Linked DNA regions of Struthio camelus. The protein of the gene in region 3 interacts with the protein of the main gene of each other region in a biochemical or structural test. Links are inferred from orthologs where the notes say so. Each region holds a gene or a part of one and is shown on either strand. Other genes may lie near its edges.

Region 1 (7,866 bases), on a different chromosome or scaffold from region 3:
GTGGGAGGGGGAGCAGAGAGAAGATATTTAGAACTCAATACAAAAAACATCCTTTTCCACAAAATTGATAGACCAGACCACAGTAAAGTTATTACTCCTCACCCAGGCACACAAAGGGCAAGTCAGAATTCACTCACTAAGTGAGAGTTAATGAAAGGTAACGTGAATTTAGCCAACACTCACCACTTTGCGCACTCTATCTTGAAGTGTTGTAACCATGGACCGTAGCCCTTGCAGTTCCACGAACATGTTTGTTAGTTCATCACAGGAAAAACCACAGACTGCTTGGATGTCCTTTGTTTTATGACCAATGTAATTAGTGCGGATAGCTGGGCTGGAGCCATTGATAGGGTTGTCCAATGTAATGATTGCACTAGTGGCTAAGAGACAACAAATACGCACATAAGGTAAATGCATTTTTCAACCATGTGCTTTTATCATTGCAGGGTAACACCTGCTAAACAGCTGTTACCAGATTCATTAGGGTGCCTGCAGAAAAATAATCTTATTTCTTATGCAATTTGGATTTGTATGTCAGCATACTTCTGAGTTCTGTCTCAACTTGTCCTCCTAACATACTGAGGAATTTATTTTTAATAGGTCATTGGATTCAGAAAAAGACTGCAGACTTACAGCTGGAGCAGCCTTTGTTCCTCAGAATAGTTTCCAGAGTTGTTCCAAACACAAACCGCACATTCTGCAGCAGTCCCTGTGGACAGAGGAAGAATTACAGCTACTTATAGCAACAGCAAGGGGAAGAAGCGCAACTTACATGGAAAGCATTTGTAGACACTTAACTTCACATACGATCATTAAAAGTAGTTTCACATCAGACAGATTGCAAGGCGAAACTTTGTTTTCCTCAGCGAGAGCAAGCCCTGCTTCCTAACATTCTCATCCTTGACCACAAGGACCTAGTTATTGCTGTAGGAAGTTCCAACCTTGCAGATCTGTGCTTCACTTCAAATTGCATTATTACAATTTAGTGACTTTAGTGTTCATATCAGATATACAAAAGCTGATTTGTGGTGGCCCCCCTTTTGCCATATGAGCTGCATCTTTGTAGATGTTTAGGCTGCCTGAGTAGCTGATACACCTTCAAGGCAGATGACTGAAAATACTAGCCAAAATGGAAGTGAAAGTCTTACCTGGAAGTTGTCGTTGACTCCTCCTTTGGCAATACGGAGCCTGGCACTGCTGGCCAGATCCCTAGTGAAGATGTTCTGGATGGGGATGTCGAGTTCAGCATTCTCCATCTTCTCACACCCCACATAGAGCTGAGCCCGGTCCTCCTGCACAAACAGGGTGATATTCTTCCAGTGTCCTGTAGCTAGCAAGGCATCCTCTACTGACACTAGCTGTTGCTTGCCATCACCAGAAAGGCTCAGGTCCAGGGTGCCTGCCTTGCCATTGGATACCAGACTGAAGACATGACCAGAGCCATCTTTCTGTTCCACAGCCAGCAGTGTGCCTCTACTCTTCTTGGCTTGCCGGAGAGTGGCCAGAAGGATGAAGCCCTTCTCAGCATGGATGGCATCTAATAAGTCTTGGAACTTGTCGTCAGGGACAGCTGGGATGCGACTGGCATCTTCAATACGGTAAGCAGGGCTGGAAGACTCTGGTCCCTTTACCAGGTGCACTCCTGGTGCCCGGCGCCCAGCTCCCTTGCGAATAAAGCCGATGAGTTCAAAGAGATCAAACACGCTGTTGTCATCTCCCCTTGACTCTGCAGAGAGATCAGAGCAAGCAATCAGAGGGATGAGCCCACGAGCAAGGGACAAGAGACTAAGTTAAGTGCATTTCTTCGGGGGCTACTAACACATTAGCTCAAGTTCTATGTAATGCAAGGGACAGAGCCTCATGTTAGAGCAGACACAAGCTGTGACAGTATCTCAAGTCTCACCAGGATTTGCTGTGGGGCAGTACACGTGCAGTCTTGTAAAGGAGCCAGTGGGCACAGGAGTGCCAGGTACCCGCTGCCTGACGCACAAAGATAGCGGCAGTTTTGGCACCTCATTAGGCTCTAATACAAGAGAAATAGACAGCAGAAGCCCTGGTTGCTGTATCCTAGTATGGGCATATTGCAAAGAGTGCTCGCTTAGTCAGGCAGGGTGACCACAAGCAGGGTAATTTCTCTATGGCCCCCAATACAGTAGCATACTGCCCCATTCCTTCTCCATCTAGTTCCTACATTAGATTCCTCCTCTTCTCTGCCTACCATAGAGAGGTGGATAAGCTGTGCTCTGAAGCCCTGGGGTCTCTACATTCATTTTTTGAAGTTTCCGTAAATGCCACACCAGAGAAAGTTTCCTGTTCATAACCCATAATTAGATAGCACTTAGGTTAAAACATTTTTGTTCACTGAAAGCTTTGGAGCTCCTCAGCGCAGAGCACAATTTCATCTGTCTACCCAGATATCAAGAAGCCTTTTCTTTTCACACCTCTGTGACCACTCAGAGTAACAAACCCACAGCTGCAGAGCACAGAGGCTGGTCTTACCTGCCGCCCGCTTGGCCTCAGAGACACTGAGCATAAGGAGGAGGAAGAGAACAGCCGCTGGCCCCATGGCAAAGATCTGCCTCTGAACCAACCTAGGGACACAACCACGAAGGAAGAAGGTCACCAAGCTGCCACTGCATCCAGGAACCCGGTGTTCACAGCACTGGCACCAGCAGTTCCCAAAGTACCTCGGAGGCAGGAAGGCTGCGAAGCGGGAAGCAACAGGGACACGACAGGTGCCCGTCACCCTCCGAGGGGGCACCGAGGGGGGAGAGAAGCTGCTTCAGCACTTACCTCCGGGGAGAGCGGGCCGGCGCGATCCCGGGCACACGACGGGCAGGACGGGCTGCCCGCAGCGCCGGGCACCTAGCGGCTAATATCCTCCGGCAGCCCTCGACTGTCCCGGCGAGGAAGAGCGGACACAGCAGCGCAAAGCCCCCGGGCGAGCGACGGCGGCAGCAAGGCGGCGCGGCGGTGTCAGGTAGGTGGCGTCGGTTGGGGCGGCGGTTGGTCGCGCCGTGCCGCCGGCCCTGCCTGGTGCACTGGGGGCGCCGGGCGCCGCGCGCGCCTTTAAAGGGTCGCTCACATTCCTCAAAGCGCGGCGGGCCAATCAGCGGCGGCGGGGCAGGAAGTGGGCGGCGGCGGCGCTTCGCGGCACGGCGGGCAACTTTCCACACAGGGGCGCCCGGGACGGGGCGGAGGGGCCGGCTCCCCCCGCGCCGCCGCCGCCGCCGCCGCCGCCGCCGCCGCCGCCAGCGGGCGGACGCTGCGGCCGCACGCGCACCTACCTCTACCTCCCGACGGGCCGCGGCGCTCCCAGCCCGCCGCTTGGGGGCGCCCCGCGAGCTCCTATGGCGGCGGCCAGGGGGGCGGCGGCGCCGCCGCCGGAGGCATTATCTCCTTTTATAGCCAGCTCCCGGGCCGCGTTCGCCGCGGCCCCGACGGCCGCCCTGCGGCTCTGCCTCGGGCGCCACTCCGCCAGCGACGGCCGCCGAGGGCTCCCCCAAGCACCCCCCGCTCCCGCTGCCCCGCAGAGCTGGGAGACGCGGGAGCGCCCCCCCGCCGCCGCTGGTGCGGCCCCGTCCTGCCCTCCCCGCCGGGCCACGCGGGCCGCCCGCAACCCCGGCGCAGGGCCGGCTGCGCCCCCCCCGCCCGGCCGCCCCGCTGCCGGTGCCGGTGCCGGTGCGGGCGGCGCCGGCGCCGCTGGCGATGCCGGTGAGAGCGGCGCGACGGGGCTGGGCTCGCCCGGCCGCCGCCGCTGCCGCCGGGCACATGGGGCGGGCGGCGCCTCCCCGGCCCCGCGCCCCGGGCGGACCGGCCGCTCCGCCGGGCCCGGGCCGGGGCGGCCCGAGCAGGGGAGGTTGCGTTTCCAGGGTTAAAGCGGCCCCGGTGTCCCGGTACGCCCCACGGAAGCGATCAGCCTCCTGCTCTTGCCGCCCGCTGGCAGCGGTACCCGGCTCCCGTGGCTCGGGTCCCCGCGAGGGGGGGAAACGCAGCCCCCCTTAGGGCTTGCCGCTCGCCCGGGGGCTTGGGGGGGCGGGGGGCAGGGGCCGGGGCCTGGGGGCCAGGCGAGAGGAGGGGGTGTCGTGTGCCCGCGCCTTTCCCCTTCCACCCGGTCACTGGAGAAGTAGCTCGGCCATGGCCAACGGGCGATGGCTTAGTGTAGTGAATAAACTGACTAACACCTCGCTTCAGCTGTCACCTTGCGCTTCTCCCTGTCGTCCGAGTTTCAGGGGAGAGGAAAGCTGCTCATGGTTAAAGGGGCAGGCCCTCTGTGTCCTGTCTGCCCTACTCCCTATGACCAAAAGTGACTGGAGTGGGTGAAATTGTTTGGAAGTGACTGGATTCCAAAAATGGTTAATTCCTCTGCATTCCCCGGGCTTTTTATATTTGACGTTTGCTCCTGTGGAAAGCCGAGTGTCATTGAGCGAGGAGAATCTCGTCAGTCGGTTGCGTGTCTGGTGAGGGAAAGTTGGAGTGAGCTTGGCAATCTCCAGCCGTAATTGCACTGGATTCTAAACTAAGCTGAACTGTGTAAAACGCATCAGGCAAGCGGACTGGCTAATGTACGAGGCATTAGTGCTCTACAGATTATCCCAGGAAATGCCTTGGGAAATTCTTGACTCAATGAATGAGATAGCTACAGAATTGTATATATTGGGTAAAGCCAAAATGTTTGTCAGCCTTTTTAATTTAAGAGAGAGAGTATACCATCTGAAGAAGGCCTTTTTGTTATGTTCATGCAGGAAGAACCTCCAGTCCCTCAAGATTAAGAGCCAAGAGAGAGAGAGGGAGATGAGGAGAGCACTGCCAGGGGAAAAAATACAGAGAGAGCAAGAAAGAGAGACTGACTGATCCTACCTGGACAGAATTAATTGACAGGTGGTTGTACATTGTTCGTGTTCGCCCCGCCAAACCCTTCATATACTCATTACTTTCTCTGATTGTCTCACAGAAATCTAAGGGACAGCTGTTTATATGAGCTCGTATCTTTAAGGTCAGAATGTTACTCTCAAGCTTTTCTTCATGTGGAAATAAGTCAAGGATAGAGATTAGAGTAGAAAGGCCATAAGAAAATTTCAAAAATTTCCTCCCATTAAATGAGGAAGTTGAGGCAGGCAACCAGGAACTGTCCACTCCGAAATGAAAAATAACGCTCAAACTTTATCTCTTATTTCATCCAAAAGTGTGTGGATGAACCTATAATCTTATCTCAGAATATTCCCTCTTGATTGTTGTGAAAGGAGGACTTTCTTATTGTGAAATCCCTGTAGCCTCAGTGAACTATGATTCTGAAAATGAGTTGTTCAGCGTTACCATAAGATGCACTGGAGCCCAAATAGAAAAACTCGAACTTCCTTAGATTTTTTAAAATATTAAAATCTAGATCCAAATTTTGTAGTTTGGACCCATCTCTAAATCTTAAGGAATCTCTAGCAAGCATCTTATTGCCCCAGAAATACAGCACAATCATGGGGGCCAAATTTGGTCCATAATTTTAGCATATTCTTCACATCTAGGTCCAGCTTCTCATCATAGCGTATATACCTAGCTCTGTTGATCCTTCTGGAGCTAATACCGATTTAAACTCATATAGCCAATGTCAATTTGACACTTAGCTTTGTTCTAGTAGGCAAGAGATAACTGACTTGTTGAAACTGTTTTAGTGGATTTTATTTACCTGTTATCTTTTGGGTGTGTTAAAGAATGTGAGCTGTGCTAAAGCTAGTAGCCCAATCCCAGGAGTGCCTGGATGTTTTTTATCGTGGATTCTTTGGTCACTCTCTTATTGTGAATCCTGGAACCACATGCTTCTTACTTCCTCTTGAATTTGGAGTCCTTTTCACTTTCACTGAACATTCATTGCAGATTATGTTTGCAACTCTGAAGCTTATGTCTGAACTTAAAACTTATGTTAGTATAGCTGTATGTAAGACTGTAAAAAAATTTTTAAAGTAGTCAATCAATGCGGAAAGTATGGTTTTAGTCTAAGGCAAGCCACAAAAAAATGTAAAATTGACATAATAAAAGGAGTGAATTTCTCTCTTGATAAGACCTTCTGCCTAGAATCTCTTTAAAATATTATCCCCAGCACACAGAATAAGAATTTTTTTTTTTTTTGCATTTAAAGTTACATACATAGAAAATGGAATCTTAATAGCCTGTGCTGAAGCTGTAATTCAGGGATAATAGAACCGACAGCGTACATCGGAACAGTGTTACTGAGATGCGTTGTGTTAAAACAGTTTACACCAGATTGCTTATCTGGTATGTTTTAGTCACACTGAAGGAAAGCTTTAAAAAGATACAGCATATCTTTTGCTAAAAGTAGAAAATATATGAACATACAAATATAAATATATAAAACATGAACTTCAGTGAACAGCACTGAAGATAGAGAGCGTCTATTATTATTATTTTACAACTTAACACAGCTCTAAAAAGTTTTTATGAAGCACAGAATTCTTTTGGTTTGTTTTGGGTGGGATTCATTTTGCCTACCTTCTGAGTTTGTTGGTTAGGTCCTTCCTGTACAAAAAAAAGAGAGACAGAGGCCTTTTCGGAAGTCTATTGATCTCATTTATTTTAGGACAGATGAAACCCCTCCTAGAGGTGCTCTCTGCCCCTAGGAGGAAACAGGTGACGAGTTTAGTTTGAGTGGCTGAAGTTGAATGAGAGGGATCACACATTTATCACTTCCTGTGGCATATTTTCTGTTGGTGTTTCTTGTGCTATCAGTAATGGTTAGCTCCCGAAGGAAATAGGTACACCTATTGGAGAGGGGGAGATTTGTGTGCAGGGCATAACCCTTCCCCTGCGGCATGGAATCCAGCAGATGATTGTTCAGCAAATCTATCATCTCTGTGAAAGGGGCACTTTATGTAAATTGCGATACAAAAATGTTTCTTTTTCCAAAATATATTGGTGTATGTGTGCTTGACCAGGGTATCCTGCTTACCAGTGTTCTCTGTTTGCAGGCGGGTTCCCCATGCCAACCACATCTGCAGGCTGCCTGCATACAAAAAGCAGATCGGATGTTTTTGTCTTTGAAGTTCTTGCATCGAATGCAGGCCTGTTTGCCTACCAAAAAAAACGTGTGGAAAATTGCAAATGTTTGATTAATGGCTAGCATATTGAACTAAGTCCTAACTACTGAATAAGCAGAGATATTTGCAGTTGAATTTCTTCTGAATCATAATGTTGGCAAAGCACATTTGTTTACCACTAGTCAGATTTTGGTGTTGGCAAAAGGTAGTCCAATTTGCTGAGAAGACTGTAATCTAAAGGAATTAACTGTAGTGACAGGATTTTCTTACAGGACTTGCATATAAGGTTGTACTACTGTTATACCAGGGAAAAAGTAAAGCCAGTCAATCATTTTTAAGCTTTTTCCCTAGTAGGAAAAATCAGTTTTTTTAAGAAATAGAATTTATCATCAAGTATAAAGCAAAAAATACTCCTCCACTCTGCTCCTGAAACCTGAAACATTTACTGTCCTTCAAAGTTCCGATTGGTTTGCTTTGTCTGTGAAGGAATAAAGAGAAAAAAAAAACAGTATTCCCTATCACTTCTTCATGTACTTGCTTTGTCTGCAGTGGATCAAAGGTAACCTTAGATATAGGCACCTAATCTCTGCTTCAGCAAAGTATTTCTCGTCAGTGAATCATCAGAGCATGAATTCAAATTCGAGTGCGTAGTAGAATTTCTTGCTTTCATTAGAACTCAGAACATTATTGCAGATTTGCATTTTCAAATATTTTGCTCAGCAGAGGAGAGAATACGTATTATGTTTATACATTTACATACCGGGACCTTTGATCCCATGAAGTGAATGAAAGCTGCTAGTTTGCATCTGTGAGCAGTCTC
Region 2 (8,039 bases), on a different chromosome or scaffold from region 3:
GAGCTGTGATCTCCCATCTCCTGGCAGCCAAGGTGCAGGAGTGGGTAACTGCGGGGCAAACACCCTCCCTGTGTCTCAGCTCCCCACCTGCACTATGGCTGTCACAGCACCCTTCCACTGCCACGCAGGGTGCAGGCAGCAGCAGGGCCACGTGTATTCACCAGCAAGTTGCTCATTCCTATTGCAAGACTCTGCAGAGCCTGAAATATATCCCAGCACCTCAGACTCAATGAAAAGGCAGCACAGGTCCAGAAGAGGCTATTGCCTAGAAATCCCACCACGGGCCAAGTTTTCAAGGTGCAGACAGGTGAAGAAATTAGCCATTACAGAAACCCAGCGCAACCAGCTGGCTGGCCCCAACATAGCTATGCAAACAAGACCCCGTTGAGCTGTATTTAGCCAATCCCTCCTGGTCTAAAATTCAGTTTGAAGACAAAGCTATTTGTGTGAGCCCCCATAGAGCTCTCTGCTGAACAGGTTCCTGCTTGTCCAGCCATGTTCCTGGGGATGTCAGAGCACCCCGTCGCTCTGCAGCTGTACAGCCACTTCATTGCACCGGGTGTCAAGAGAGCAGGGCAGGAAATCAGGATTGGGCAGAAGCCAGCCTAGCTCCTGCCACCTGTGCAGCCCCCCAGAGCTCAGGCACAGCTTATAGGCTTACGTATCCAAGAAAGTATTAGATGGAAGTGAAATTCCCTTTTACATGCAAAAGGGAATTTCACATACCTTACACATACCCACTTACACATACCCATTAAAACACAAGAAAAAAAATCTATCCACCGTATCTTTCCATTCAGAGTAGCTAAAGACATGTCTGCACAACACTGTGCTGTATTAATCCATTGCCCTTGCAGGGAGTTGGTAGAGCAGCCGTGATTGTGCTTGTGAGTGTGCCGGGTCTTTACTGTACTCAGAGAGGACAGGATAAGTGCCCCATTACCAGTACAGTTATATGCTGGCTTGGTGCTATCAGAATTTAACTCTCTAGGCTGTACATTGCGTTCATAAAGAGAAACAATTAAATCAGTAGCAAGAAAAGTGCATGTATGAGATCGGAGCTACAAACACCAGAGAATGACTTAGCTCTTCACAGACTTCAGTCAGAAGGGGAAGCGATACAGCATTACGCTGTCTGCCTAAGGTTTTTTTTGTTCTTTTTTTTTTTTTTGGCTTGGCCTGGACATGTGGACATGGGGGTCACGCCAAAAGTAGCCTTGCTCCTCTGTGAAGTGCTGTAAGTAAGGACCCTGCTGTGCCAGGTGCAAGCGGGTCCCTCCGGCTCCCGGAGGTGTTAGAAAGCTGATCTCTCACTGATGCACAGCCCCGCAAGAAAACAAAGAGAAGAAACCGGCGGCTAAACATCCTGCAAAAACGCGAATCATCTTCAAAGCGTTCCCTGAACGCCACAGCAGCCACAGCAGCTCCAGCGATAACAGCCCCAACATCCCTCGCCCAGAGGACCCAGAAGGGGTTTCCATGGGAGCCGACATTCCTCCGCGGCTGAGTCATGGCAGAGCAAAGGGCTGGGGAAGGAGGGGCTTGAAAAAAGTTTGAAAAGTTTTTCTCCGCTCCCCCTCCCGACACCGCCCGCATCCCTGCTCCTGCCTATGTGGCAGACAATAGCTCGGGCTTAGCCGCTTCGCAGAACGCCGCAGCCTTTGGTTCCCACTTAACACTCGGCTGGTGCAGCCTACCAAGCCGCTGCGAGCTGCTTTGTCCTTTCGATGGGGGCTGTTGTGGGGCTGTTTCAAGTCGGTGGTAACCGAGCGGTCGGAGTGCAGGCGACCTTCGCGGTGTCCCCGATTTCACTCCAACTTACAACTGTTGCTGGTCAGTTTGGGTGGGAATTAAGCCACCATCCTATTAAGTTTCCTTTTCTTGGCTGTACGCAACATAGTGGAGCTTTTTTAGAAGAGGGATACAAAGAGCAGAGTTAGGCTGCTATGCACGTCAGGACAGGGAAAAGACAGCTGCTGCCTTTAAAGGAAACAAGCCCTTGGCTTTTTTGCATGGACCTAAAATTGTGTCTGACTGATCCTTATTTTCAGTCTCTTTAAACAGACAAAAGAAGAGCTTGGTTCTTCACTTTTTTCTCCCGCAACCTTCATCTCTCTCTCAAGCAGCTGATCAGCTGGATTTATGCAAAATAAGGCAGGAGGACCTGAAATGATTTCAGAGTCTGCCTGGAACAAAAAGCCTGGTGTCTTTCTCTGCAGGAGAAATAAGAATGGCTGTACTTAAAAAAAAAACAACAACAGCAACAAAACCTCTAGGAGATAAAGTCAACAACGTTTTTGTTCTTTCTCTAGATATTCTGGTGAGTAAAATATCAAATGCCAAAACACCTCAGACTCTGTGCATAATGCGCGCTGGTTTACAACTAAATCTGATTTGCTGTGCAGGGTGGTTTGACGTGCCCAGACGTTGGTCTAGCACCTCTCCCAAGGGCAATACCCCACAATGTAAAACCCGGAGAGGAAGAAGGGAGAAGAGGGAAAAATTAGGTCAGGTTTTAAAGCCTTAAAGTCAGCTGTCACCAAAATGCTAACGCTGGTAATGTGGCAATGAAATGCAGTAACAGATGCAGCTGGGAAGAGGAGAAAGAGAAGAAGCTCAGCAAGGTCCTTGGGTGAGTGGTGGGCTGGTGAGGTGCAGAGCTGGGTGCTCATGTGGGGGGCCTGCGCGAGTGGGCTGGGGAGCCACCACGCCAGGAGAAAGAGCATCAGGAAGGAAAAGAAGAAGGTTTCGGGCCATACCTGACAGTGCCGGCAGCAGGGCTGAGGAAACTTCAGGCTCTTGGAAGGGCTGGGGGAATCTGCAGGTTTTAGAAGGAGGCAGCAGGAAGCCAAACTGTGGGCTGGGTTTCCTGCTGCCTCTCCTCCTCCTCGCTATCTTTCCAAATCTGTCTCTTCCTCTGCCCCACTCCCCAGTGGGCTGTCCCACCCCCTCTCACTGCCCTGGTCCCGAAAAAGAGTGAGGCACAGCTTCAGCTCTAGACTAGAGAAATCAAGAGGTGCTGGAGATAAACAGGGTCTCTCGCAGGGAGAAATCAGTTCCCAGAGCACTTTTGTAACTGAGGCTTTGTCACAGTAGCTGCTTGTACTGCTGTGACTAGTTTTTTGGTTCTCTGGATCTCTCTCGGACTAACAGTATCAGGGGAGCGGGGAGGAATGCTTTCTTTGCACAGCTCCTAGCACCTTCATCCAGCACAATAAAAACTGTCATTTCACAACAGACCAGTTCAGTTCCTGGGCTGGTGTTTTCCATCCTTGGGGGATACGGAGGAAGCTAGGAGAAGCGTCCTCACTCCTCCATCCTTTCTCCTGACACTGTTGCCATCTGAGACTGCCTTGTGAAGAGGGAGAGGAAAAAATGATCCCCTTTTTCCAGCCTGTGGAGAGTTATTACATGTCTGAAATATGCTCTAAAGAGCCAGGGAAATGCTCAGCGGGGAGAAGTAACCCCCAGCACGCTGATCTTTCTGCTGTGGTTAGTGGTTATTGTCCAACAGATCTGATCAGCTGGCACTGACTGAGTAAAACTGGTGGCCTGGAAATTGCTGGTCCATTGAATCTGAGGTTCTCTTCAGATATGGTTCAGTATTTTGACCTTATAGATTATAACCCAGTCAGAGCAGCCAAACAGCAAAGCCGTTTGGGGTTGACTTTTCCCATCTGTTCCTCTGCACGCTAAGGATGAAAACCTAGCTCCCATTTCCTTGCATTTCATCACGGCAGAGGCAACTTAAAGTTCATCTGACCCCCGGCAGAACCAGACAACGTGTCCTTATGCATGGCAGCATGGCCATGGTGCCACATTGTAGGGAAAAAGCAGCAGGCAAGAAGTGAGGTTGTTAAGTTACTGGAATTAGGGTATCCCTAAGGGACCTGACTCTATAACCTGTAGGGCTTTCCTGAGTGCTGCAGACAGTCCAGTTCATTAGCAGCTTTTTGCAGCTCATTGTCTGCCCATGGCAGCATCCATCCCTTGCTGAGCCTGAGTGGCTCTAGTGGGGTCACCTGGCCAGGCAAAGCGAGGTTGCTCTCCCTGGGGCTGCTGGAGGGACAGTGGCTCACATTGCAGGCAGGGCTGAGGACAAGTTGTCTGGGCACTAGGACTGTGATCCTGGGTGCTGGGTGAAGAGGACACAAGACTCATAATAAGATGTAACGCCATGTGTTTGTCTCGTCTGCCTAGGTTCTGGGGTCATTCCTCTGGGTGATTACACGCTGCCTTCAAGAGGGAGGTGGACACTTAACTCCTCATACTGAAGTTACTGGGGATTTAGATGTCATCACAGGAACAGGCCTGCCAGGATTTGCTGAGCTCTGTTGGCTCTTTGCTCTGGTGGAGGCCTATTTGTGATTTAGAATTCCTCATCAGCACACGTCTTGTCCTGCTGCTGCATGTGAAAGAGACAGATGTAAGAATAAACATCAATAGGGCCAAAAAGAAACAAAAAATAAACAAGATCAAAATAGAAAGGGGAGAGGGAAGAAAAAGATAGTAGAGGGGGCCATGAAGAACCCATCATCACTTTCCAATGGGACTGTGGATGTCTATGATCAGGCAGGCCAGGACGCTGGTGGTGAAGAGCAAGAGAAGAAAAAGTCTTGTCAGGTCACTGTTTTAAATCCTGGGTCCTGAAGCGTTTTAGGCAGAAGGCAGTAGCGAACATACCAGGAGGTGGGACCCTGTGGGGCTGTGTCCCCCCATTCTCCACTCCATGGGTTGCTCCTGATGTGGCACCTGGGTCGTAGTTTGCGGTGGGAGTGGTTATGCTGCTGTGTATCACTCTGTCACTCATGACACCATCCAGGCACAGAGGAGCAGTGAGATTTCTCTGTTTGCTTTGAGAACTGGGGATGAGGAGCTGGAGTCATGTTGTCAAAGGGCTTAGGAGCCTCAGGCTGCCTGGAGATGCCCAAGAGGATGCGTGAAAAGCATCTTGCTCCCACTGAAGAGCCACGAGGAACCTGGCTGTTTTTTTACACACTGTTCAAAAGCCATCCCTGAGTTCTGATGTGTGGATGTTGATATTCCTTATACAGACACCCCACCGGTCTAGGGTCTGTCTGAAGGTCAACTTTGTGATGGTTGATAAGACCATGTCTGTCTTGTTAACTCAGCTGGTCACTTGTGGCGTCTGGATGTCTTCTCTTCCCCCCATGGGTGTCCACAGCCCCCATGTGTAGCTTACATGTAGGTCCTTTTCAGCTGCAGAGGTCACCTATCCCCTAGGTTTGCGTTTCATTCGCTTGGTGCACACCCCGAGGAGTTGAATGCTTTCTGCACTGGATTAGTCACGGCTCGCATTGAAATCATACAGCTGCTGGTACTTCTCCTAAGAGAGAGAGAAAAAAAAAAAAGACATCTGGAAAAAATTTTAAGGGGGAAAAAAAAGAGAAAAGAAACCACGTCTTTTCTAACTGACAACGTGGCAATTGCTCAGTGCTCTTTAGTCTAGCCTGACGCTAAGCCCTTTTCTAAGAAGAAGCAAATGACAGTGCCAGGAAGATAATTATAACAGGGTTTTCTTTATATACGTGGCGGCTTAAACCTTGGTCTTGAGTGAAAGCAAAAAGCAGCCTGCTGCAGTGGTGCAGTCACGTTTGGAGATGGCCCCTGAGCTCTCGGCTATCAGCCCCGGGAATGTGCAGAGTGAGGGGTCCTCACAGACCTCCTGCACGTGGGGGGTTAACCCAAATAGGAAAGAGGCCTTAAGCTGCTGCGCACATCACGGGGGAGAGCCCAGGTCCTACAGCTCCCTGTGCAACAGGCACGTTGCCAGGCTTGGTTTTGTGTTGCCAGCTGTGGGATGAAGGGGGATTGCACGGAAAGAGAAACAAGAGCCTGGAGCAACTGGCAGTCTCTCTAATCTCAGCAGCTTTAAGAAGCTTCTGAGATGACTGAGAGCTTGCAAAAAAGTCCTGGAAAGTCCTCCCCACGCTTATAAGGCTTAGACATCAAAGAAGAGACTTTGATGTCAGGCTGCCAGGAGAAAAACTGAACCTTACACATGCTAGAGGTTTCTCTTATGGCATCTAAAGCTCAGGGAACTGGGCAGGCAAAAGACGGCCCAAGAGGGCCTTGTCAGCCCTGAGACCCTACACAAGGGGGGCTGTGCTTTGCCGTGCGAGCCTGCCTCGCAGGTCGAGATTGCGATCTCTATAAGCAGTGCCAATATGTGTTTCATACACAGCTCCTGAACCCCAAGCTGCCTTTCACTTACTTCCAGCTCAAGTGACCTCACAAACGCAGATGGAAAAAGCAAATAGGACCAGACCCCTTGAGACTTGAACTGAGTGTATAGCAAAGCCAAGACATTTGCAAGGCTGAGGTTTGAACTCAAGCTAACCTCAATGCAAAATCCAAATTCCTTCATCCTCTTTTAAGCCTAGTTTGACAGATCTGGGCTGGCACAGTTAAGAAAACCCTGGTACTCTCCAAGATGGGAGCAATTCTGCTGTAAGAGAAGGACAGAAATACAAGTGAGCCACTTGATGGAAGTGATACAAGTGGGGATTAATAATCCTGCTGTATCCTACACTCAGATCCTTCAGTCTAAGCAGCCCTTCCTCCTTTATGCCGTGGGAGGGATTTTCTAATGAGTTTTTCTGGAAAGGATGATGTTCCTGCATTAATCACTGGTGGATGCTACAGTGAAACAATGAACCCAAAGTGCATATAAATAAACAGAATGCCCTGGAATCACTGTAGGAATGTCATTAAATAAGTCTTTGTAGATTAGCGTGTGGCTGAAGGCTGTACTCCTCACACACACAGGCTGCTGTGTGAGCAGGATGCCTTTACTGCAGTGTGGGAAAAGCAAGGGCAGTCGGTAAGGCAGCCCAGCATCCTGCTCAGGAAAAGGCAATTGAAATGAGTAAGTGCAGAACAGACAGGCATCTTGCTTATCCTAGGAATGTTCCAGCTCTCCAACTATCTCCAAAACCCAGGAGTGTGTCATCAGGTATTAGGGGAAGGTTTCTCGCTTTTTTCCGTTTCAGAAGGGGATCAGAGGACTGGGCAAAGGACTGTGGCCTCTGCATTTACATTAAAGCAGATGCATAGCCACCATTCAGGACTGGAAGCGCCTTCTGCACAGGGTAGGGTGAACCTCAGCCATGCCAGGAACTTGCCCCAGGCTGGCTATCTTGGTCCTAAATGGGGCAGGGACTTCTCTGTAGTGGGATAGGGCTGTCCCTCCAGGCTCAGTGGTAGGGTTGATTGCCTGTACAGATGGAGCAGACTGACACACCATCATTTCCCCAGGCCTCTGCCCCTGCAGGGTGTCTTTGAGTGCTTGGCCCGGGGAGCCTGAGTGAACTCCTCAAATGGGATTGGGGCGAGCTGGCTCAACAGGGTAGTGCAGGCGAATGGGCTTCTGGCTCTGTGAGAAGCAGAAGGAGAAAGAGGAGGGGATGTCATTGTTAATTTTCAGCTGCAAACCGGAGGCCTGCAGGGCAGGAGGGAGGGAAGCCAGCTGTGCATGGCTGTGCTGTGAGTCACAACCTGGGAGCAGGCTTTGCTCTGGAGCCTAGAGGCAGGACATGCACTGCTATGGGATGGCTCGCTGTTTCCATGGTGTTCACAGGATCTCAGAGCCATCCCCTGGGATCTCCAGTGGAAGGCACTTCCCAAGCCTTTTGGGGAGGGCTCTCTCTCCTTTAGACTACCCCTGCAACGTGCACTGGTTTGCTTGGACACCTGTGGGGCTGCAGGCTGAGTGTATGTATTCTCCCTGAAACAAAGCGAGCCCAAAGCAGCAGGAGAAAAAAAACCTGTTGCCTTCCTCAGCTGGGCTGGAGGCAGCTGCCGTGAGAACAGGGAGCTCTGTGTGCTGCAGCTACCGGCTGTACCGCCCTGGACGCAGGCTGGATCTCTAAGGACATCATGCCTGTACATCTCAGCTGTTCCTACCTCTCTGTTATGTCCGGAGCTGGGTGGTGGATACACTTGCCTCCCACCACAGGTCCCCACCAGATGCCTGTGGCAGATTTCCCCAATGCACTGCCTGGCGTGATCACACCAAG
Region 3 (6,984 bases):
CTGCGCGCCAGGGGCGGCCGGCAACAGCGGGGAAATGCCCCTTCCTGCCCCAAAGCTGCCCCCAGCCCCGCCGGGGTGCTGAGGCCGCGAACCCCCCTCTGGGCTGCCCTCCCTCTAATCTCAGCGCTGCTCTGAGCGCCAGCCCCGGGTGGCCTGGGGGTGACGGTCAGCATGGTCCCTGGGCAAGGCGGCTGCGAATCCCAGGAAGAAATGGGTTGGGGGGGGACTCTCCTAAAATCCCCCCTCCAGCCAGCTCTTGGGGGGCTGCCAGGCTCCGGGACCCCCAAAACCACCCCAGCGTCACCCTTCACCTAGCGGAAAGCTCAGGCGATGCAGACAGAGGGACAAACCCCCGGGGAAGGGGAGGGGGGAACCCTCAGGGGTCTGCCCGCCGGGATGCAAACATATTTTCGGACCCTCCCAAGCAACCCCTGCACTTGTCCGGGCTGCTCAAGGCCCCGTCGCAGGAGCCGCGCGTCTCGCTGGCAGCCCAAAGGCCAATTAAGCAATTGCCCTGGCTTCTTTGAACGGCGGCTGGAAATAGCTGGCGCAGTCGCTGCCCGTGATTACTGGGTTTTGCCCTGCCGCCGCAATTGAGGGTGCCGAGGGCCGGCTGGCCACCAGGAATAGCCGGGGCGGTGCCGGGCTGCGGGCTGCGGGCGCGCGCGCCGGGGGGCACCCGCTGGGAGGAGGGAAACTGAGGCACGCAGCCGCCTTCCCCGGTACGGCATGTCCCCCCTCCAGGGCACCGAGGAGGACCCAGGCGGCTGGGGGGGGGGTCCGTGCCGAGCGCAGCGGGGTGCTGGGGAACCGCTCGGCAGTACCGGGGTGTCGACGAAGCGGGTCCTGGGAGCAGGACGCCTGGGTCCTCTGCTTTTCTTGGGGGGGGGGTTCTGAGGGGGAATAACTCAGCTCCCCAAAAAGGCACCTCCCGGCACTCAAAAGCCATCACCTAAAGGCTCGTGGGTGCCAGCTCCAGCCTTGTCCCCCCAGGCTGGGAGCCGGGGTTAGAGCAGCAGAGCCGGGGGGACCCAGGGGTCCCCCGACCCCGGTGGGGTCCGGTGCTGCAGCCGACTCTGCAGGACGAGCAGGGACCCACGGCGGGACGCTGGCACCCTGCGCCGGGCTGGGGCCGGGAGCGAGTGCCCACCGGCCCCCGGGCAGCGCCAGCGCCCGGGCCAGCGGGCGGGAGCGATGCTGGGCCGCCGAGCGAGGAGGAACCAGAGAAGAAAGGGAGTTAATCCGCTCCATGTGTCTGCGCTGTCGAGGGGAGTTAACTCACACCAGATGCCTGTGTCTGCTCCAGCTCTTGCAGCGCAGGCAAACAAGCCCCACCGCTCGCCTCCCCCATCCCCGCGTCCCCCGTCAGCTGTGTTTTTCTGTAGGTCCTACTCGACGCACGACCGGCGGGACGGGCGCCTTGCCGCCTCTCGCCTGCTCTTCTCCATCCCACGGCTTGGACGACCCCGGTCCCGCTTGCGACTTTTTGGGGCAACGTCCTCCTCCCGCCCCAGCCCCGTTGGCACCAGCGAAGCCAGCGGGCTGCACGGGAAGGGGGTGGCATCCCTCGAGGGGACGGGGCTCGGGGGGACCCCCAGCGCCCAGCTGGGCCGTGGCACCCTGGGCACAGCCCGCAGCATCCCGCCGCCCCGGCCGGCCTCCGCCGAACCCGCGGGGCAAAACCCCGTCCCCGTCCTTGCCCGGGTGCTGCAGGACGGTCCCCGCACGGGTACCACCGGGACGAGCAGGGAGGGACCCCCATCCTGCACCCCACAGTAGCCGGGGCAGGCCCAGGCCCTGGGGCTGGCGTCTCCCGTTTTGCTTCCTAGGATCCTGATGGCTTTTCCAGGCTTTTATTATTATTATTTTTTTTAATGTGGGATTTCTTCCCTTTCTCTCTCTCTCTCTCTTCTTTTTTTTCCCCTCCCTCGTTCTTCTCATTCCCCCCCAGCCCCCATCCCCTGCACGAAACCCTCCTGCATTCCTCGGGCGGGCGGCCGGGGCTGATGAGGTGGCATTGGCCCCCCTCCTCCCTCCCGCGCTACATGCATATAAAAAAACGATGACATTCTTTTCTTTTCTGTCATGCTGCAAAAATTAAAGACACATCTTCAGCCTGGAGCGCGGCCAGGGGTTTTCGAGTCGCAGAGGCATGATTGGAGGAGTCTTCGCCTGCAACGTGTCTCGGATGCATAGATACAGGCTTGAAAGCTGGCCAGCTGCTCCGTGTGCATGCGTGTGCGTGTGTGTGTGTGTGTGTGCGTGCGTGCGTGTGCAACTCGCACAGATAACTCCTTCTGCCGCGGTTTTTTTCTTTGCATTTAATCGCAGGCTGGAAAAAAAGACCTGGAGAGGTCACCGGCGGAGCCTTTTTCTGCTCTCAAGTTCGACGTGTCTCTTCCCCCCCCCCCCCACCCCCCGCCCTGTTATTGCATTATTTGATCCCCTCCCCCCCCCGCCCCCCGGCCAAAAAATAAATAACTCGGTCTCTCCTTGAGGGCTACTGCTCGGATGCGGGCGCTTAAAGCGGGGGGAAGCGCGTGTGCGGTTTGCTTTTCGACGAGGCAGGAGCCACTTGGCGACCCAGCAGGCCGATGAGTTTGCAAGTGCTCAGCCCCTGCGGCGTGGCCCGGTCGGGGTGGGGGGGGGCGGTGGGTGCCAAGGTAGGACCCCGCTGCCTCGCGGCTCCCGGTCCCCCTCCCCGAGCGCAACGGCAGCCCCCAGCCCCATTCCCTGCTGGGGCGGCCCCCCGCGCTCCCCGGGAGCTGCCACCCTCCCCACAGCCCCGTCCCGGACGCCTGGGTCCAACGAGCCGCTGCCCAGCCCTGGGAGGGGACCCCCGAGCCCCAGCAGTGCCCAGGGCCCCAGAGACTCCCGCGGGGAGACCGCCCAGCCCGCACCCTCGGCCGCTGGCTGGGCCCACGGAAAGGGGCTGTTCAGTGCCGCATTTTTCCAAAAAACCCTTAAAATCGAGCTGCCCTCCACCCCGGTATGCCACAACGTCTGGGGGACGTGCGGAGAGCTCCCCGCACCGGGGGGTCTCCGTCCCCCTTTGCCCTAGAGATCCAGGCGCCTGCCACGGCCCCGCTAAAAAATACACACACACACATATATATATATATATATATATATATACACACACACACATGCACACACATATATATATTTTTTTGGCGTGTAATTACACCCTCCCAAAATTGCACAGTGTATTGCGGATTATTGTCAGCGAGCTTTTTCTTTTTCCAACCAACGTGGCTCTTCAAATGTGGAAACAGTCATGGAGGCGTGCCAGAGGGGAGGAAGGAAGAATGGGAGAAAGAAAGAAAGGAAAAGAAAGAAAGAAAAGAAAAGAAAGGAAGGAAAGAAAGAAAGAAAAGAAAGGAAGGAAGGAAGGAAAGGAAGGAAGGAAAGAAAGAAAAACGGAGATAGAAAGCGAGCAAGCCAAAAAAGAACCCCAAGCAGAGCAGCCCCGAGCAGCGGGTTTGGTGGCTCCGGGGTCCCCGTCAGCGCCCGGCGTCGGGGATGCCAGGGCCACCCTGGGTTTTGCTTGTGCAACGTTGTCCCCACGTCCCGGCGGTGTGACCGGGGTGGGCGTCCGCGTGGCCCGGGCGTCCTGGCGTCGCGCGGGACCGCGTGGGGCGAGCGGAGGGGAGGGCCGTCCCCATCGGTCCCCGTGCCCGCTCCGCCCGGCGGCGTTGGGATATTCCCAGGACCCTTCATGGGTGACCCCCCCCGCCGCAAACCCACCCACCCCAATGCATCTACCCCCCCTTCCCCAAAATCCAGCCCCACGGCTCCCAACCACCCCCCCAACCCCCCCCAAAAAAATAACTCGACGCCCGTCACCCTGGGGGCGACGGCGGCGGCGCCGCGGGGCTGCGCGGCAGCGACCGCCCCGCTTGGGGGGTTTTGTGCGTGTGCATGTGTGTGCGTGTGCGTGTGCCGCCCGGACCCCGGGCGCGCCGGGCCCCGCTGATTGGCCGAGGGGCTGTCCAAAATTCCCCGTGCTCCGGGCCGCGGGCTGCGGCCGGTCCCACCTCTCGCCGCCGCCGCACCGTATAAAAGGGCAGGCGAGGCGCTGGGAAAGGCAGTAGGAAGTTTCTGCTGGGGTCCGGATTGGAGCTACACAGTCAGAGCAGCCCTGTATGACCCGACTCTGAAACAAAGAGGCCCAAAGAGTCTACATGTCTAATATTTAGACATGTTCAGCTTTGTGGATTCTCGGTTACTGCTGTTGATAGCAGCGACTGTACTACTCACCCGCGGGCAAGGAGAAGAAGACAGTAAGTAGCCGCCGCTCGCTCTCGCGCTCTCTCCGCCGGCGGGACGGGGCCTCGAGCGGCCGGCGACGCGTGGCCGCTTCGACGCTTCCCTCGCTCTTCCCGTCCCCCCTTCCCGCACGCCGCCCTCCGCGACACGGCAGAGGAGTCGCCGTGAAAAGGTCCTTCTTCTCCTGCAGGGGGTTGCGGGGTGGTGGGGGGAGAAGGAGGGTGGGGTGGGGGGCAAAAAAAAATAATAACCCCCAACCAAACCAAACGCCAGGCAAGCGAGCGGCGGGACGCGGCGGCTTTGCGGGGCGGTGCGCGCCGGGATGCCGACGGCCGGGGTCGGGATGGGACGGGCGCTCCGCCACGGCCCCGGGCTCCGTCGCCCTCCGGCCTTGGCCCCGGAGGGCCGGTGGCGCCTGGGAACGATGCTGCCGGCCGGGACTCGGTGCCAAGTTGGGAGAAGGAGAAAAGGGTGGGGAGCGAGGAGCAGGCGGGGAAGGAGGGGAGGACGGCGGGGAAGCAGGGGCGGAGGAGCTGGGGAAAGGGGGGCAAGCGAGCGGGAGAGCGACGGTGCGCCTCGAAGAGCCGGAGGGGAGGAGGAGGAGGAGGAGGAGTGGGGCGGGGGGGGGGGGGAACGCCGCCGCCGGCCCCGGGATCTGCAAAAGCCATCAGGAAAGAATTAGAAAAGTCTCAGATGATTCATAAGGAAAATGTTTTAGCAGCCCGTAAAGCCGGGGCCGTCTAGACATCGCTTCACGGACAGCCCCCTTCGCCCCGGGGATGCCGCGCTGGGGTTTCGCCCCGCGCCGGTGCAGGATGCGACCCCCCCCCGAGGGTGACGGATGGGGTGGGGGGCACAGCCCGGCACCCCCGCCTCACCGCCGGGACCCCCGCGGGTCCCCGGGGCAGCGTGGCCGCAGCTTGCGGCATTTCCCCAATTTAGTCATTTTGGTTTTTTTTTTTTTTGGCTGTTTCCCACCGAAGCGGCTCCGGCTGAGCGGGGGGCTGCGGGATGGGGCTGGCTCGCGCCCCCCTCGCTGGGAGCCCGGCCCCGCTCGGGTGCCAGCCCTCCACCCTGGCGCTCTGCCCTGCCCTCCGCACGCGCCGTCCCCCCGCTTGCCTCCATCCGCTGGACGTTATTCCCTCGCCGGCGGCGCAACCAATCTGGCCTGATCCAGCCCTAGCCCGGACCCGCCTGGATCTAATTTCAGCCCAAGCTGTCGAGCCAGCCCACCTGGCCCGCCGTCCAGCCGCCCCTAATTCGCACTTGCTGCTTTACCAGCCCCGCTGGTGATCCCGTTTCCCCAAGCCCCTTCCCGAATCCGCTCCAGCATCCCCTCCCCGGCGCCCCCCGCGAGTGGCTCCCGGCCTCCCCACCGCCTCTGAGCCCCCAGCCCGGCGCGGGGGCTTATTTGCCTTGGCCTGGGCTCCCGCAGGCCGAGGTTGCAGTTGGACGTAACAACTGGCTGGAGGTTTTGTTTAAATTCCAAAGTAAGTGGGAAGAGTTTATTGTGGTGGTGCTTTTCCTGTGTCACCGCGATGGGCTGATGAGAACCAGATGAACGGAGAAAAGCTCCAGGAGAGGGGGGAAAGAGGAGGGGGGGGGGGAACGCAAGGAAAAGGACGTGCTGGACTTGCCAAGGAAAGGCGAACGCCTGTGGACGAGCGCGAGCGTAAATCTCAGCGGCTCACTCCGTGCCCCGGTTCTCGCGCCCTCACGCTCCCCTCCCCGTCTCCCTCTTTCCCCAGTTCAAACTGGAAGCTGCATACAAGATGGACTAACATACAACGACAAGGATGTGTGGAAACCCGAGCCCTGCCAGATCTGCGTGTGCGACAGCGGCAACATCCTGTGCGACGAGGTGATCTGCGAAGACACCTCCGACTGCCCCAACGCTGAGATCCCCTTCGGAGAATGCTGCCCCATCTGTCCCGACACCGACGGTACTGACCCTTGGCCCCGCGCGCGTCCCCGTGCCGCGGCGAGCAGCGGGGCGCCTTCGCCTCGGCTCGCCGCGACGCTGCCGGGGGGCCCCCGCGCTGCCCCCCCCTCCAGCTCAGCATCCTTCCCCAAAGGGGCTGCAGCCCCGGTGGGACGGGGATCGGGGTGGGTAGAAACGTGGCGCAGACTCGGCTCCTCCGACTGACCCTTCTCCTTTCTCCCCAGCCTCCCCCGTCTACCCAGAATCCGCTGGAGTAGAGGTAATCACTGCAATCCTCTCCCCAAAAAAACCCTTTCCCAAACAGTTCTCCTTATTTCCTTGCTCTCTTCCATCATTTTCTAACCACCCGTCTCTCCTCTCCCCTCTAGGGTCCTAAGGGAGACACCGGCCCCAAAGGAGACAGGGTGGGTAGCTCCAGCCTAGCTCCTCCAGACCAGATGCGGCACAGCTCCGAGGCCGTTCCCATCCGCGCCTCGGAGCATCCCGGCACGGGGGCAGCGCCGGCACGCGCTCACCCCTGTGTCCGCTCTCCCCGCAGGGACTCCCCGGCCCCCCTGGCAGAGATGGCATCCCTGGACAGCCTGGCCTCCCGGGACCCCCAGGCCCTCCAGGTCCTCCAGGCCTCGGTGGAGTGAGTATCGGGCAGCCCCTCGGCCCCGCTCGGCCCCGCCGGCGATGCCCGCGATGCTCACGCCTCTCTCTCACTCCTCCCCGCAGAACTTCGCTCCTCAAATGTCTTACGGATACGACGAGAAAGCCGGCGGCATGGCCGT

The links.
Region 1: the proteins of COL1A1 (region 3) and THBS1 form a complex in vitro, tested with the Homo sapiens proteins (2 studies listed by BioGRID). The link is inferred for Struthio camelus from reciprocal best matches to the Homo sapiens genes COL1A1 and THBS1.
Region 2: the proteins of COL1A1 (region 3) and SPARC form a complex in vitro, tested with the Homo sapiens proteins (2 studies listed by BioGRID). The link is inferred for Struthio camelus from reciprocal best matches to the Homo sapiens genes COL1A1 and SPARC.

Annotation. Positions count from the first base shown.
Region 1 is NC_090946.1:47,519,155-47,527,020, forward strand, and holds the start of THBS1 (thrombospondin-1), read right to left. Parts: upstream 3,038-7,866; 5' UTR 2,794-3,037; intron 2,592-2,793; 5' UTR 2,567-2,591; coding exon 2,500-2,566; intron 1,727-2,499; coding exon 1,149-1,726; intron 710-1,148; coding exon 634-709; intron 381-633; coding exon 184-380; intron 1-183. UniProt on the Homo sapiens protein: Adhesive glycoprotein that mediates cell-to-cell and cell-to-matrix interactions.
Region 2 is NC_090954.1:13,126,000-13,134,038, reverse strand, and holds the start of SPARC (SPARC), read right to left. Parts: upstream 3,074-8,039; 5' UTR 2,760-3,073; intron 1-2,759.
Region 3 is NC_090966.1:4,762,062-4,769,045, forward strand, and holds the start of COL1A1 (collagen alpha-1(I) chain), read left to right. Parts: upstream 1-3,911; 5' UTR 3,912-4,201; coding exon 4,202-4,283; intron 4,284-6,017; coding exon 6,018-6,212; intron 6,213-6,435; coding exon 6,436-6,470; intron 6,471-6,579; coding exon 6,580-6,615; intron 6,616-6,749; coding exon 6,750-6,842; intron 6,843-6,928; coding exon 6,929-6,984. UniProt on the Homo sapiens protein: Type I collagen is a member of group I collagen (fibrillar forming collagen).